3 linked regions of the Arabidopsis thaliana genome follow. The protein of the gene in region 2 interacts with the protein of the main gene of each other region in a pairwise test. Each region holds a gene or a part of one and is shown on either strand. Other genes may lie near its edges.

Region 1 (4,401 bases), on a different chromosome or scaffold from region 2:
TTATCCGGTTGCCTATTTTGTAAACACTGGTTCTATTATAATAAATTCAGCTACTCTTGGATTTCTCCTTTCCAATGTGCCCTCTATTTATATATTTCATGCATGCATAGATCTAAGATCACATGCGTCGACGTTATTGAAAATGTACGCATTTGCAAATAACTTTATTTCATGGTGTAAAGAGAAAGAACATATCTTATCATTATTTATTTTTCTTGTTTCCATTATTAATCGTGTTATTGTAAATAAAGCTTCTGTCTAATTTAATCGCAATTATTCAGATCGTTCTTATGGTGTTTAATCGATTCCTTCGTACAAATATATATTCAGAGACAACTTACTACTAAACATAATAGTTCGAATAACCAGATGTTTAACCTGTTAATTGATGGTTCGTTGAAAATCATATATATCAATTATAGAAAATAATACTATCTAATAAGAGATTTCCAGCATATACATATTTAAGTTTAGCTAAAGGCAGAAATATAAATACTTTCTTATATATGGTTTTATTGTTTTAATAGGTAATAGAATGTAAAGCCTTAATTATGGGAATTGGTTCATACGAGTAATTTCACATAATGGACTTAGAAAGATATCTAACTTTTTATAAAGAAAAATTCTTACACTAATAAGGGTTTGTTACAAGAAAAAAAAAGTTTATCTTAGGATTTAAATGTTAGGATCTGATGTTATTTACTTATTTAACTAGTTACAAGTAAAACTTTTGCTGCGGGCCTGCGGCTTTCGTAAATTAGTGATATGATCATATGAATGAAGCAGATCTGTGTCATCTGTCTATCTTTTTTTTTTTTAAACAATCTATCTTTAATTAAAGAAAATTTTGAATAGATGTAAACTAAATATTAAATTCTTCTCTATCCATTTAAGAAAGTTGTGGGCGTTATTGTTCAACATCATGGTAGAAAATGACGCTACTAACCATTAAAACAACAAAGTGTGTAAAGAATTGGATTCTACCATAAGAGGAACACGTTGCATTGTTACATATATTCCATGCTCTAGGACGGTACGGGCAAGTTGCAGAATAAGATGTGATTTGGCATATTACATAATGTATGTGTCGGTACATGAATCACGTACACTGAAAATGATGATAACCTTGTATTGTGATGTAACAATAAGTGACTCTTGAGATCGAAATGGGCCACCATTAATACTATTTTGAAGAGAAAAACAAAAAAAAAACTAATATTTTACATTTTTTGTATATTTTTGGTTTTAGGATATATATATACGTGGTTGCTTCACTATCATACTATCATATCCATCTTGTTGGGCACGAGCTTGAATTTCTAGCAATCTTATTCATCGAATAGGGAATAAAGTTCAATTTTGTTTTATTCTTTGACATTGCAAGATTCGATTTCATGCATGACGGTAAGGCTAAAACGGAACCACAAAGTTTGCCTTTTTCTCTCAAGTGGTTATAAAAAAACAATTCTTGAGATATTATCTCATACTCTCTCGAGTTTTCTCAAACACTGAAGCTTGCAACTCTTTTTGGCGTATCTAAAACTATGTCCAAGGCGTATCTAAAACTATGTCCAAGCTATCCAATGATTTTTACCCGATTTTCAGCAGAACACATACACTATGAAATACTATAAAGTATGATTGAAAGCATATTAGATATCGAAATATTTTTCCATATATCATGTACACATAACCGTTACAAAAAATAATTGCTATATTATTAATAATTTCTTATTAGACTCAAAAATACTGTAAGAAATATTTCAATTAATTTTGAATACTATATTAGTATAGTACACGAAATCCGATAATTTCAATTAACGACGACTTCACGATAACATGAAATCTTTTCGTATATAGGCGTCAAGACATTTATATGTCGATAATGTGTTGGATATTTTTGACGCATTCCTGACGACATATTTAGATTGAAAGTAACATTCTCAAAACCAAAAATTATTATCACAAGCCTAAATGAGCCAAAATGAAATCCGGAGTAAACACTATTAGCAATTTTCAACTTTATTTGAAACTAAAAACATATTTCGGAATTTTGAAATTTTATAAGTCAAACGAGTTTAGCAGAGATAAAACTCATTTCTGCTTTTTATCAGTGGTTTTCACAATGAAGGCCGTACTAATGAAACATGACATTATTCGTCCGTATCAATTATTCCTCATATATATCAAAGAGAGATTTTGTTTTCTGTACGTTTTACCAAATTAGTTGATAGTTTTATTCTTTAGCTGCAAGAGGGAAAAAGACTCAAAGAGTCAAGACGTGTGAACCGATAATATCCTCAGATTCTTTCGGAATACTTCGACTATCTTAATTTTCATCATTTAAAATTGTGTTCTTTTATTTCTTTACTTACAATTTGAGATATTTCATATTTGTGCTAAAGTTGATTCTCGTAGAAAAAGGCAACGTAATAAGAAAGGTTACGTACTTTAGAAAGCTATATATAAAGGACCTTACCCACTTCACTCCATCAAACACAAAAACACAGAGTCACTTCTCATTTTCACCCAAATATATCAATAATCTCTCTATAAGTTATCTAGTTTTCCCATATTCATCTCTAATCTAGCATTTTGACCAAACACACCTATTTTTCTCCTTTGCAAGACAGTTTTCAAATATCTATCACGTTATATTACTAATGGAGAATCTACAAAAGATGATCTCCGAGAAGTCGGTAGTGATCTTTAGCAAGAACTCTTGCTGCATGTCTCACACAATCAAGACTCTCTTCTTAGACCTTGGCGTGAACCCGACGATCTATGAACTCGATGAGATTAGCAGAGGAAAGGAGATAGAGCATGCATTGGCTCAGCTCGGGTGCAGCCCGACAGTGCCAGTGGTGTTCATAGGAGGGCAGCTTGTTGGTGGAGCCAATCAAGTCATGAGTCTCCATCTCAACCGCTCCCTTGTTCCAATGCTTAAGCGCGCTGGAGCTTTATGGCTTTGACTTCAAAATAAATGGAATTGCAAATGACTTAGGTTCTGAGAAACTTATTAATGTGAACAAAAAAAGGTAAAAAAAACATATACAAAAATGTATGTATGAGTTTATTACTATATATGTCTATCTATCTAAGTTTTCAAAAGATAGATTATGCGGTTACCTATTTTGTAAACATGCATCTAAGAGATATTTATATTTTATAATAAAAATCAGCAACATTTGGATTTCTCCTTTTTCCCAATTCATATTTATATAATTTTGTATACATATATGCATCTAGAAATGAATACACGTGCACTGAATATAGATGATTTTTTATGGTGTAAAGGAAAAAAGAAAGAATATATAACTATTTATGCAGAACATGCGCCAAGACATAATAATTAATTTAAAAATTTGAAGAAGGCATATTTTATAGGCTAAGAATATTGTATTTGTATCTGCCACAAATTAAAAAGCGATGACGAGTCTGAATCGTGTGTAATGTCAAGCCTTAACTTTTCAAACGAAATTCTTACAATGATATGCAACTGTTAATAAATGTTAGGCGTGATTGTCAACTGAATTAGCTAGTTACAACTTACAAGTGTAAAAATACAGGAGATTGCGTAAATTTGAGATATGGATCTTAGAACAACTCTATAATCAATTAAAGAAATTTAGAATTAAGGTAAATCAATCATTAAATTCTTCACTGTCTATCTACAGAAACATTGTTGAACATCATGATAAAAAATGACGTTTCTAACCATTAAAATAACAAAGTGTGTAAGGAATTGGATTCTGCCATATAAGGAAAATCTTTGCATTGTTACATATATTCCAATAATAGGACAGTACGAGCCAGTTGCGGAACTTGATGCGAATAGGCATCTTACATACATATAATGTGTCGGTACGTGAATCACGTAATGTTCAAATGATGATAACCTTGTATTGTGATATAAGAATAACGGCTCTTGAGATCAAAATTGGGCCACCAATAATCTTTTAGGAAGGAAGGAATGCAAAACTATGGCTTTAAAATTTTGTTGAGCCCCACGTGGCTGCTTCACTAATCAATCTTCTTGGCCACAAGCTTGAGATTTCAGAATTTCGTGGAATTGAGGATAAAGCTCTCTTTGATTCTTGATTCTTAACATTGTAAGATTCGATTTCATTCATGACGATAAGGCTAGAACGGAACCACATAGTTTTCCTTTCCCTCTCAAGTGGTCATACAAGAATATTATAATTCTTGAGATGCATTATATCTTGCGATTTCGAGTTTTCGCAAATTAAAGAATGAGAGGAGCTAGAAACTTTTTATGGCATATCTAAAACTATGTCAAAGGGACATGACATACATATGAAATTCTATTTCTTTATAGTATATACATATGAAATAAAAAGTTTTCATGATATTACGTATCCCATTTATGAGATATGGAAG
Region 2 (7,865 bases):
CAAAAAAACAACAAATCTTGGAGCAGGAAGTAAGCAAAAGGAAGTTACAGAAACGGAAAAGACGAAACAGAAAAGTAAAGATGGTCAAGAACAACATGATGTAAAGGTCGGAGAAAGAGAGGTAAGAGAAGGCTTGCTTGCAGCTGACGCATCAGAGAGAGTGAAGAAAGTTTTAGAATCTTCGGAAGAGAAACAGAAGCTAGAGAAGATGAAGATTGCGTATGGACAACAACATAGCCAAGGAGCTTCGCCGGTTCGAAACTTGTTTTGGTCAGTCGTTGTTTGTCTCTATATCTGCTACATTTTGAAGCAGAGGTTCTTTGGTGCTAACTCGGCTCAAGAGTATTAAAAAGTTTGACCTTGGATCGAGGAAAAGTGAAAAACTGTAAAATATGTAATGACTAATGAATGAAACTACCATCGATGTAAAATTAACTAATAAAATCAAATTGGTCAAGATTTTTTTTTTTTTTTAATTTGGCTTTGTGAATTAATATTGGCTTACCAAATTGTCCAACTGTATATAATTACACACGTGTATGTACTATGTGCATGTATTAATTATGAAAATTGGTTGAACATATATTTGAATTAATATCTTAAGATAATAAATAAAGTAATGAATCGGTCCATATGATAATTAAATTTAGGGATAGCTATATGGAGCAAACGAAGGCAGAGACTGTATGTGAATTGGTTCACTTTATTCAAGGTCCCAAAATAAATGTGGTAAGATGAGAAATTTATATCAAGGCTTTAAGGACTCTATTTAATTGCTTCTTCTTTTCAGACTGATGTCAATATTTTTTAGGAATAAAATAATGCACACATGAATGGTAAATTAAAGACCAAAGTTGATAATAATAAGAAACAATATAAATAACTTTTGTTCCTAAATGATTATCTCATCAATAACAAAGAATTGGTGAATGATACACAAATTCATTACACTATCTTTAGTTCATAAATAGTTTTATATTTACTTCGCATTATAGCATTCATAATCTCTAATGAAATCCATGATACGTTTCTATATCATCCAATAATGAAAACATAACACCAAATAGAAAATTTGCAAATCAGTTTAATTATGAGATTTCATATTTGTTTTAATAATCAGGTTAGTAGTATCATACAGTATGTTGTATCATATTTTCAGCTAACACTTAATGTCGTCGTTGTTGAGGAAACAAAATTAGAAATCGCATGCAATCCCTTTTGTCAACGAAAGTTTGTATAATAAATTCACATTGTTGTCAAGTTTTCAAGTTTCAACCATATTTCTTTCTTCCACAGGTTTCTAATTTCAATGTATAGTAAAAACAGTTTGACTTTTTTTGATATACACTTCGAAGTGAATAGAGTTAAGACCGCGTGAGTAGGAAACAGCCAACACATCGAGACGACCCAAAAATGCAAAAATACAACAACTAAAAATAAAAATAAAGCTATTTTGATTACAGTATTTAAACAGATATAAAAATAGCTAATTATATCATATTAAAGTTATGTTATTTAAACAGTCTTAAAAGGAATTGAATAACGTGCGATGTTCCTAAATATGAATGTATGATTAAATCAGGTAAAACATAGTACTAATAATCTTATATAGAAAAAATTATAAATTAGTGGAACGTTCCATGCATTCATTGTATTCAGTAAATAATCTTTACTATTGGCAATTTTGTCGAACTTATGACCCGCTCGCTTTAATAGAAGACTACAGTGCAGATAAGTTGTTTGTCCATGTGTAAACGTTTTAATAGTTTTAACCGTGGGTAAGAAATGTTTGTTTTATCACGAGTTAAAACAATAATTACTACTATTAAAATACAATAATTATTATTAAATATCCTTAAACTAGTAATGTTTTGAGAAAAGTAAATATCTATAAGAAAATCCATTTTAATTATAGATCTTTGTTCACTAAACAAAACAAGTGGTGTTTTAAGAAAAGTAAGAATCTAGTACAAAGTAATTAAAATTGCCTTTACACAGATTTTCTCATTTTTCATTTTGAAGAAATATTATGTATTATAGTAATAAATCTTTATTTGTTTTTAGTACATCTAAATTAGGCAAAAATTAGAGAAAGTACAATTAAATTATAACAGAGTAAGAAAACTTGGGAAATGAGAAAGAGAAATAAATAAAAAATCCAAAGAAGAAGAAGAAAATGAGATCAGCAAAATCCCCAATAAAAGTTAATTTTTGTCATTATACGAAGGTGAGAAAATCGCCGGAGAAAGTGGATAAAGTCCTCTCCTTTTTTTATCCAACCACCGTCAATTTAACCCTCTCCGGCAACATAAAAATCCACCGGAACTTAAAAAAGAGAGTTAGTTGTATAGAAAGAGAAACAAAAGAAGAAGGTTGGTTCGGTCCTCTCTCTCTCTCTTTCCCCGAGTATGGTGAGAGTACTAGTTAGCAGTAATGGAGAGAGCAAGAGACTTTAAAACCCTCTTTCTCTTTCTCTCTCTTTTCTATTTTTTCTTCTGTCAATTTAAAAACCCATCAGTTACGCCAATTTCTAAAGAGAGAGTTTTCTTTTAGCGAATCTGTAATGAATGTTGAAGAAGCAACAAAAGGGGTTTGGGAGCACTAATGGCGGCTTTAGCTTAGGTGAGAAAGTCTTTACAAGGAAGAGATCATATACTATCTCACTTTCTCTTTCTAGGGTGGCTCTGTAGAGAACTAAGAAGAGACATTATTACGGCTAAAATAAAAAACCTATCTCTTTTGGATTTGTAAAAATTCCTTTTTTTTTTCTTTTGTTTTCGTAATCAATTTCTTGCCTAAAGCGAAACCTTTTCACCTCCCGAAATCATCGCCTTTGCATCTTCTCTTTCAGATTCTCTTCCGTTTCGTTTTTTTTCTTTCTTTTAATCTCTCTTCCTCTTCTCTAAAATTTGAACCTTTTTTTTTTTTTGGTGTGTTGCTCTGTTGGGTTTGTGTTAATGGTGACAGTGGTGTAAATGGTCCATTAGTAGTTTGTGGTTGGGTGAAAAGTAAAGAGATTAAAGACTGTTTTACTGTCTTTTCGAAACATTAATTAAAAAAAATGAGTTTCGTCGTCGGCGTCGGCGGAAGTGGTAGTGGAAGCGGCGGAGACGGTGGTGGTAGTCATCATCACGACGGCTCTGAAACTGATAGGAAGAAGAAACGTTACCATCGTCACACCGCTCAACAGATTCAACGCCTTGAATCGTACTACTCTGCAATCCCTTCTCTTTTTTATCTTTTGGACTCTGTTTTCATTTTGTAATCGTTGAAACTTGGACAGGAGTTTCAAGGAGTGTCCTCATCCAGATGAGAAACAGAGGAACCAGCTTAGCAGAGAATTGGGTTTGGCTCCAAGACAAATCAAGTTCTGGTTTCAGAACAGAAGAACTCAGCTTAAGGTTTTGTGTCTCTGTCTCTCTCTCTCTCTTTTGAGTTTAAAATGTAATTCTGAACACGAAAAGAGAGGATTTTGATTTTCGTTGTGGTACTGTTTTGTGTAGGCTCAACATGAGAGAGCAGATAATAGTGCACTAAAGGCAGAGAATGATAAAATTCGTTGCGAAAACATTGCTATTAGAGAAGCTCTCAAGCATGCTATATGTCCTAACTGTGGAGGTCCTCCTGTTAGTGAAGATCCTTACTTTGATGAACAAAAGCTTCGGATTGAAAATGCACACCTTAGAGAAGAGGTTTGGTTTTGTTTTGCGAGTTTTTATTGATGTAAGATTGATTCAAAACATCATTTTGACTGTGAAAATTTGATCTTTTTGCATAGCTTGAAAGAATGTCTACCATTGCATCAAAGTACATGGGAAGACCGATATCGCAACTCTCTACGCTACATCCAATGCACATCTCACCGTTGGATTTGTCAATGACTAGTTTAACTGGTTGTGGACCTTTTGGTCATGGTCCTTCACTCGATTTTGATCTTCTTCCAGGAAGTTCTATGGCTGTTGGTCCTAATAATAATCTGCAATCTCAGCCTAACTTGGCTATATCAGACATGGATAAGCCTATTATGACCGGCATTGCTTTGACTGCAATGGAAGAATTGCTCAGGCTTCTTCAGACAAATGAACCTCTATGGACAAGAACAGATGGCTGCAGAGACATTCTCAATCTTGGTAGCTATGAGAATGTTTTCCCAAGATCAAGTAACCGAGGGAAGAACCAGAACTTTCGAGTCGAAGCATCAAGGTCTTCTGGTATTGTCTTCATGAATGCTATGGCACTTGTCGACATGTTCATGGATTGTGTAAGTAGCTGAGACATCCTCATCATCATGTTCTGTTTCACAATTGGTTGCAGCATTTCTTATAAAAATATTGTCTTCTTGTTGCAGGTCAAGTGGACAGAACTCTTTCCCTCTATCATTGCAGCTTCTAAAACACTTGCAGTGATTTCTTCAGGAATGGGAGGTACCCATGAGGGTGCATTGCATTTGGTAATATTTGATACTATACTTCTATTCTCCTTTTATTTTTGTTTCATTTTGACTTATATATAATAGTAACTTTGCTTGGCTTGGTTATGTAGTTGTATGAAGAAATGGAAGTGCTTTCGCCTTTAGTAGCAACACGCGAATTCTGCGAGCTACGCTATTGTCAACAGACTGAACAAGGAAGCTGGATAGTTGTAAACGTCTCATATGATCTTCCTCAGTTTGTTTCTCACTCTCAGTCCTATAGATTTCCATCTGGATGCTTGATTCAGGATATGCCCAATGGATATTCCAAGGTTAAACTTCTTTTTCCTCTGTCAACTAAATCATGTTTTCATGTTAGAATATCCCTAAACTGATGAATTGAAACAGGTTACTTGGGTTGAACATATTGAAACTGAAGAAAAAGAACTGGTTCATGAGCTATACAGAGAGATTATTCACAGAGGGATTGCTTTTGGGGCTGATCGTTGGGTTACCACTCTCCAGAGAATGTGTGAAAGATTTGCTTCTCTATCGGTACCAGCGTCTTCATCTCGTGATCTCGGTGGAGGTAAACATAATTTTCCATTGCGAACCTCAAAGTTTTAAACTCCATATAACTAACATTTGTTGAGCAACTTTTTGCAGTGATTCTATCACCGGAAGGGAAGAGAAGCATGATGAGACTTGCTCAGAGGATGATCAGCAACTACTGTTTAAGTGTCAGCAGATCCAACAACACACGCTCAACCGTTGTTTCGGAACTGAACGAAGTTGGAATCCGTGTGACTGCACATAAGAGCCCTGAACCAAACGGCACAGTCCTATGTGCAGCCACCACTTTCTGGCTTCCCAATTCTCCTCAAAATGTCTTCAATTTCCTCAAAGACGAAAGAACCCGTCCTCAGGTAACAACAACACAAGATTCAAAATCTTCATACGAAAGATTCATTTGATAATGTATATATTGTTTCCTTCTTGTTTGTGATACTAGTGGGATGTTCTTTCAAACGGAAACGCAGTGCAAGAAGTTGCTCACATCTCAAACGGATCACATCCTGGAAACTGCATATCGGTTCTACGTGTAAGCCTCTTTTACAACAGAGTGATACAAAAGTTTCCGCTTAATTCTCTTTTGACTCATTTGTTTTTGTGTATTAGGGATCCAATGCAACACATAGCAACAACATGCTTATTCTGCAAGAAAGCTCAACAGACTCATCAGGAGCATTTGTGGTCTACAGTCCAGTGGATTTAGCAGCATTGAACATCGCAATGAGCGGTGAAGATCCTTCTTATATTCCTCTCTTGTCCTCAGGTTTCACAATCTCACCAGATGGAAATGGCTCAAACTCTGAACAAGGAGGAGCCTCGACGAGCTCAGGACGGGCATCAGCTAGCGGTTCGTTGATAACGGTTGGGTTTCAGATAATGGTAAGCAATTTACCGACGGCAAAACTGAATATGGAGTCGGTGGAAACGGTTAATAACCTGATAGGAACAACTGTACATCAAATTAAAACCGCCTTGAGCGGTCCTACAGCTTCAACTACAGCTTGACACACACCATTAAAAGCTCTCTTCCCTCTTTCTTCTGGGTGTCTCTTTCTCTTCAATGATGGAACAGAGAAGGGAATTAACTCCTTCTTTTGCCTTCAATGCCAGAGAGAGAGAAGAGAAGCTCATTAACTCCAATTGTTCTGCTGCTTCTGTTGGTGCTGTTCTGTTCTTGGACAAACCTCATTAAACAACTTCTGTAAGAAAAGAAAAAAACAGCTGGATTCTTCTCTCTTCATTTTTTTTGGTTTTTTTTTTTTTTTTTTTTTGGTTGGTTATGAGTATTTTTTTAGGGTATTTTTATTGGGTTTTTATTACTAGAAGAAACTGGAAGTCAAGAACGCACCATGCAACTTTGACTTTGTTTGTATGGTTCGGGCATTGACTTCTATTGCAAAGTTTTTTTGAAAGCTTTAAACTTTGTTCATCTCTTCATTAATGGTCTGTTTATGTTTTAACTGGTTCTTAAATCTTCTTCTCCTTTGATCTAAATGTTGTTGTTATGGGTGGAGAGATAGAGAGAGAGGTTAGGTGATGGAAATCTGACAAGTTGATGACTTTTTTGAAAGTTAGAAGAGAGAAAGAAGAAACAACAAAGATTTGATAAATGCGATTTCTTTTGGTTGGTTCGCTTTAAAAGGAAATTGTGTTCGTACGGAGACCATAAAAACCCATCACTCTCTCGTTGGATCCAAATCTATTAATACACTTTTTTTTATATCAAAACTTATGGTGAAGATTCATGTCACGTCTCAAAATCTCCTTTGGACCCAAAACAAATATATCGAACGTGCGGTTTTTCTTTTGTTTATTAGATTAGAGATTTATCAAAATCAAAACTATTTTGCTTTCAAAAAGATTGGTTTCACACTTTCAAAAAGATTGGTTCCTTAAATCGAACGTACCGTTATTTTGTTAACAATAATAGTCTTGTGTAGGGTTGATCCGTATTATGAACTCGTAATTAATGATGTATCAACAGTAAAGTAAAGGTACTTTCTACCTAAATTAGGTCCATGCCATGGTGCCAATGAACTTCACGTTACTAGTCTAACTGTCTAAGGCTAAGCTAGCCATTTTTTTTGTCTATTAGTAATTTCAAAAAAAAAAAAAACAGGTGTTTCTGATATATTTATTTTGAAATATCGAAATTATTACGACTAGACCGTTAAATAGATTGATAGTGAAGCACTTAACTTAAAGGCGTCATGAATCATGATGAAAAAAAATCATAAATGATTTACAGAATTGTAAATTAAGTGGATAGATACTATAGTATATAAAAAAATGAATGGGACATATGAAATAAATTTGAGATAAGTTTCTTAGTGGTGTAATTTGTTGCAAAATTTAATGATTTTTTTCATTCTTCTAAACAATATGCAATTCTTATTCTTATCTTGTAGTTGTTTTAATAATTTGTGGGAGACAAATTGTCTCCTCTTTTTTTTTTTTGGATTGAAGAAATTAAATGATTATTGAAGTCATTATAAAATAAAAAAGAAGAGTATTGGGCTCAGTTAAAACGGGCTTAAATATAGGCCCATAAGTTATTCATAGTAAACCCAAACCCAATGGAGAAGAGTAAAAACCAAATCACTCCATCAGAATTCACAGCCAATCCTGTTGTTAGAGAACCATTACCAATTTCGATCGTCATCTTCGTCTCCTTCACTCCTAGAAAACGTTGGAACCCTAATCTTCTTAGAAATTTCAATCGAATCTGAAGAACTAGATTACGGGATTAAAGCGAGGTAGAATCGAAGACGATGGCAGGGAGAGAAGTTAAAGAATACACAAATCTGTCTGACCCTAAAGGTGAGACATTTGATTGAATATGGTTCATTGGTTAATTTCATTCTAGGGTTCTCGAGAATTC
Region 3 (5,300 bases), on a different chromosome or scaffold from region 2:
TGGAAGCTTCCATTGTTCGGATGCACCGACTCCGCTCAAGTGTTGAAGGAAGTTGAAGAATGCAAGAAGGAGTACCCTGGCGCCTTCATTAGGATCATCGGATTCGACAACACCCGTCAAGTCCAATGCATCAGTTTCATTGCCTACAAGCCCCCAAGCTTCACCGAAGCTTAATCCCCTTTCTGGAATATTCAGCGTTGATTATTCTGGAACCCATTTCTATGTGGTCAATGCAAATTTAAGAAATTATTTGCCGACTTAACAGTTGAGGAACTATTGTTTGAAAGTGAAAATGTTATTCCTATCAGTTTCTCTATAATTATAGTTATCATTTCATTTCATTTTTGCCCTTAAATCTTTGAAATCTTATTTTTCGTTTAGCTCCTTTAAACAACATTGTGGCTCCTTTAAATTATCCTCATAATTCTTGCTTTTGACTCCCTAGACTAACCAATAAACTCTAATAAAAAAAGAAAAACTTGCTACATTGTTTTAAGAAATTTTGCACATGAAAGCAATCAATCAAACCTCGATATTTAGAGAAAAGTTTATGTAAGGGAGTGTAACCATTTTTCAGATGACATAGCCATTGGAGATTTGGAAAAGGTAGTATATACAGAAAATTCAAATGCATCTTTTAAAATTATAAACATAAAACATGTATTCCAAACCCCTAAGTGGGATATTAAGTCAAGAAATAGCATTACATAAAGCAAGGATCGACAAAGACTGAAATTTGTCAAGCATGAAGTTACTAAATTTTGGAAATTTTGTTTACGTTAAATTTGATCATTGGTTATGCATTAAAAGCTGAAACAGTTATTTAGAAGGAAAAGTAGTTAACGTTCCCAAAAAGTTCTAAATAAAACTAGATTCCAAATGATAATGAAAACGTCGCATCTACTATATGTTTGGTTTTAAGTTTTTGTTTTGACAAAAAATCATATGTTTTTGGATTCTTCTATGCAAACGAAATATAAAAAATTCATGATTCAAATACAAAATACATATAAAAATAATAATTCAAATTATCGAACATTTTTTCCATCTCCCGGATTTAATTCACACATTTTGGCTTCAATTAAAATCCAAGAAAAAGAAACAAAATGACTTATAAAAGACAGAAACTAGTAACTTAGATGGATGGGTTAAGACTTAAGAGTTAAGACTATCTCACTTTCGAAAAATGATTTATTTAGCTGAGGTGCGGAGTGGAGTGGACCTTGTGATCCTTTTCCCTACACGAAAGTTTTTTCGTGACCAGTTAATGTGTACTTTGTACACGTTTCTTCTCATATATATGATTGAAAAGGGGGCATTAATTTGTGAGCCTGAAGGTAGTAGTCGTGATCCATGAGTGCATGACCATAGTTTTATGTGACTTTAAGATGAGTTCTTGACTCCGTTCTACACCTTTGATTACATACTCAAGTTTGCATGGTGGAAATCAGCTTGAGGTGCCATATTTGTGCTTGAGGGGGCCGTAAGTGCAATGGCATGGTACTCCAAGGAGAACGGTTGCGTATGTGGGTTCCCCATTGTTATTGTGATGTGATCAGAGTCGCAAGATAATCGTGAGCTGATATTACTTGTTGATCTAGAGGCAGCGTGCATTACCTCATATAGAAGATACCATGGACTTTGGGAGGTTTTCTTGGAAATTCTTCCATGAGGGGTTTACCGCGCACTTGATACATGTAGATGATGGTTTTGCCGTTTCGTTTGTTCGCTCGGTCTCTTTGTCCCACAAACATATCTTGCATGATGTAGTTGTTGTTAGTATCGACTCAAATATTTACTCTCTCCAACCAGTAAGGTTTTGCTTTTATCCTAGCCACATAAAAATCAGAAATAAAAGTACTATTTGCTAAAAATGAAGTGAAAGTATTGAATTAACCGAAATCAATGTATTCAAATTTTGTCTCGCTTTTCTTTTGTCGACTAATATATTATCATTTGAAGATAATATATAACTTTTCCAACAAAAAGATTATCGACAATTTATTGTGGTAAATGATTTTCAGGATGTATCCAGAATCGACAGTCTACCAGTACTAGAATATATCTAATAGATAAATGGTTCTTCTTACACTATGCTCATTATGGATTCTTTAATTTACTCTTTCACAAAAGGGACGATGACGAAGGAGTCTCTCTACAGCACGTTAGAATTCTTTTGATAGGTTTACTTCCATTAGTCTGAAATGGAATCTTATTTATAAGTCTGCCTGAAAAATCTTAACAATTGATATTAATAAAACGGAAAGAGTAATGAATATTTTTAAGAGCATCTCGAATCTATCTCTATTTTTATTTATATACTCTATTTTTGTATTTATTTAACTCTAACTCATCTCTATTTTCATTTGTAAAATAGAAATTTCTAATTTTTTTTCTAAAGCAAAAAATAGAGATTTTTATTTTTTCTCTTATTTATTTTTTCTAACGAATTTTTGAGGAACCATTGAAGTTAAAATATAAATCTCTATTATATTTTTTCCTCTATATTCAGAAAGAAAATAATAGAAACAAATATTGGAGATGGTTAAAGCTTTTTTTTTTGTCCGGATAAATATCATACAATATATTTATGTAAATATCAAATTTAAATAATTTTGTTATAACTATTTTTTAATGCGACCTTATTTCCAAAGAAAGTGTTAAGCCAAATTAAATCATACATGGTAAATAAGAGGTCCAAAAGACCAAAAGCATTAAATTTAAGGTAATGCGTCTGGTTTCTTTTCTCCCAAACGAAAGGAGCCAAAAGCAACCGATCAAGTGGAGACCAGTAACCGCACATTCACTTCATTTCCCCCACAAGAGAAAAGATAAGATAATGGAGTTTTCTGCCACGTGGCCTTATCCTAGTGGTGCGTACCGATAAGGGTGTCAACACCTTTCCTTAATCCTGTGGCAGTAAACGACGTTATCATGAATCATGGACCCTTTGATCATGAGGGCTTTTCGCCTTTAGGGGGTTCTCATTATATAAAGATGACAACACCAGTAGGAAAACAAGTCAGTAAGTAAACGAGCAAAAGAAGAAGAGAAACAACAAGAAGTAGTAATGGCTTCCTCTATGCTCTCCTCCGCCGCTGTGGTTACATCCCCGGCTCAGGCCACCATGGTCGCTCCATTCACCGGCTTGAAGTCATCCGCTGCATTCCCGGTCACCCGCAAGACCAACAAGGACATCACTTCCATCGCAAGCAACGGGGGAAGAGTTAGCTGCATGAAGGTAATATCATCAATAAAAACTGTCTTTTGTCATGTGCAATAAAACAAAACATAGGATATATTAATTTGGAATTGGATTTGGGGATTATAGGTGTGGCCACCAATTGGAAAGAAGAAGTTTGAGACTCTATCTTACCTCCCTGACCTTAGTGACGTCGAATTGGCTAAGGAAGTTGACTACCTTCTCCGCAACAAGTGGATTCCTTGTGTTGAATTCGAGTTAGAGGTAATAAACACAAAAGTTTTCTTTTGTCTACTAATCATTATTATTTATTCGTTTTCATTGCTAGAAATATTAGCCTATAACCGGATTTTGTAGAACCGAAATAGACTATATCACCTTGTGCATATCCTCCAATATCAATTGTATTGAATGGTTTTCTTATGTGTTTATAGCACGGATTTGTGTACCGTGAGCACGGAAACACTCCCGGATACTACGATGGACGGTACTGGACAATGTGGAAGCTTCCATTGTTCGGATGCACCGACTCCGCTCAAGTGTTGAAGGAAGTTGAAGAATGCAAGAAGGAGTACCCGGGCGCCTTCATTAGGATCATCGGATTCGACAACACCCGTCAAGTCCAATGCATCAGTTTCATTGCCTACAAGCCCCCAAGCTTCACCGAAGCTTAATTTCTTTTCTAAAACATTCTTATGAATTATCTCTGCTCATTTCATTTCCTATTGTCTGTGTTCTTTTTCTCTTTATGAGACAATTTCTATCGGATTGTCAAATGTCTGATTTATGAATATGTAATTTATATATCCGTGCGTCTTGATTTTTTCCGATGGTTAACTAGTTTGAAAATTTCCGATGAGATAAGACAACATACAAAAAATCGAATAAATTGTGTAAATATAGATAATAGTGACATATGGATTTGTATTCATATTTGTCCATTGTTTTAAGAGGAAAAAAGTTACAAAATCTTATTTTCTTAATAATAAGTAAATTTACTTTATAAGGACTGTGAAGTGTGTAACATGTGTTTGTAGATCTCAGTCACACAGAGTTATTACCTTAAAGGAAAAGGATGGTCCACTTGAAAGGATGATAGACACATTTGTGGACGGTGCCAGTGCCATATACATAAGATAGGCTTGCGGATAAGAGTCCACTTTTAAATTTATGATTAAGACCCTTTTCTTAATGATCTCACATATCAATCTGAAACTTGTGTGTCAACATTGTCTTAATGACCTGAAATATCAATTTGAAACTTGTGTGTTCATTGACTTAATGAAACTACAAGAAATCATCAAATGTGTGAACGGAAAGTTCTTTGAAGTGTTTTTTATATAATTTGTGTAGACTTACATGCGTGTAGTTTAAACTTTAATATTAACTAAAATGTATTTAAATTAGGGTTTATCTCCTAAAATTGATTCTAAAATGGTTAACCCAATATAGGTAGTTTATGTGTTGGTAGATCTACCGAAAATCCAATTAGTTTGAATCTTGCGGAATAGAAAAAAACAAACTATAATCTTGATTTTTGGATCCCACCGTTGTGGATGCTCTAATAATGCAAGTCATGCATGTTTCACCAGCGTCTAAGTCTGTATATACGCTTTTGGATTTTGTTCGAAATATTGAAACACCAAATAAAACAAAAAAAAATACTGAAAATCTATTATGAGAAATCTCTGTATATAAACATAAACGAAAGTGAACCCTTTAAAGATATATTTTCGTTTCGGTCGATATACATACACTGATTTCTCAATATCTTCTTTTATCTTAAGAAATCCTATCAAGTATCAACTATCATCTATGTATATAGTTTCACCAACCCAAAATGATTTGTAACAAACACCTTAATCTTTAATATTTAGTTAAACCAACTCTTACCGCTCATCACCGCGTCATAACGCTGCCACCATCCCCACCCAAACGCAAACGCAAACCACGTCCATTCCTCTTCATATGTTAACATGTGCGGCCACTCCTCAACACATTTTGATGAGAGCATTTCCGCATTTTCCCTGATGTTCTGCACCGTGCCTTTCTCTTTCTCCTCCTTTTCCTTTTCGACAACAGTAACATTATTTTGATC

Evidence for each region.
Region 1: the proteins of HDG11 (region 2) and AT4G15700 interact in a two-hybrid assay, tested with the Arabidopsis thaliana proteins (one large-scale study listed by BioGRID).
Region 3: the proteins of HDG11 (region 2) and RBCS3B interact in a two-hybrid assay, tested with the Arabidopsis thaliana proteins (one large-scale study listed by BioGRID).

What each region holds. Positions count from the first base shown.
Region 1 is NC_003075.7:8,934,882-8,939,282, forward strand, and holds AT4G15700 (Thioredoxin superfamily protein), read left to right. Parts: upstream 1-2,476; 5' UTR 2,477-2,663; coding exon 2,664-2,972; 3' UTR 2,973-3,243; downstream 3,244-4,401.
Region 2 is NC_003070.9:27,577,017-27,584,881, reverse strand, and holds HDG11 (homeodomain GLABROUS 11), read left to right. Parts: upstream 1-2,196; 5' UTR 2,197-3,061; coding exon 3,062-3,207; intron 3,208-3,283; coding exon 3,284-3,401; intron 3,402-3,503; coding exon 3,504-3,692; intron 3,693-3,778; coding exon 3,779-4,261; intron 4,262-4,348; coding exon 4,349-4,450; intron 4,451-4,542; coding exon 4,543-4,743; intron 4,744-4,819; coding exon 4,820-5,000; intron 5,001-5,077; coding exon 5,078-5,337; intron 5,338-5,423; coding exon 5,424-5,513; intron 5,514-5,590; coding exon 5,591-5,989; 3' UTR 5,990-6,461; downstream 6,462-7,865. Other genes in the region: SUS6 (sucrose synthase 6), read left to right, coding at 1-349. UniProt on the Arabidopsis thaliana protein: Transcription factor which acts as a positive regulator of drought stress tolerance. Can transactivate CIPK3, NCED3 and ERECTA. Transactivates several cell-wall-loosening protein genes by directly binding to HD motifs in their promoters.
Region 3 is NC_003076.8:15,376,077-15,381,376, reverse strand, and holds RBCS3B (Ribulose bisphosphate carboxylase (small chain) family protein), read left to right. Parts: upstream 1-2,960; 5' UTR 2,961-3,070; coding exon 3,071-3,241; intron 3,242-3,331; coding exon 3,332-3,481; intron 3,482-3,636; coding exon 3,637-3,876; 3' UTR 3,877-4,389; downstream 4,390-5,300. Other genes in the region: RBCS2B (Ribulose bisphosphate carboxylase (small chain) family protein), read left to right, coding at 1-174; AT5G38400 (uncharacterized protein), read right to left, coding at 5,076-5,300. UniProt on the Arabidopsis thaliana protein: RuBisCO catalyzes two reactions: the carboxylation of D-ribulose 1,5-bisphosphate, the primary event in carbon dioxide fixation, as well as the oxidative fragmentation of the pentose substrate.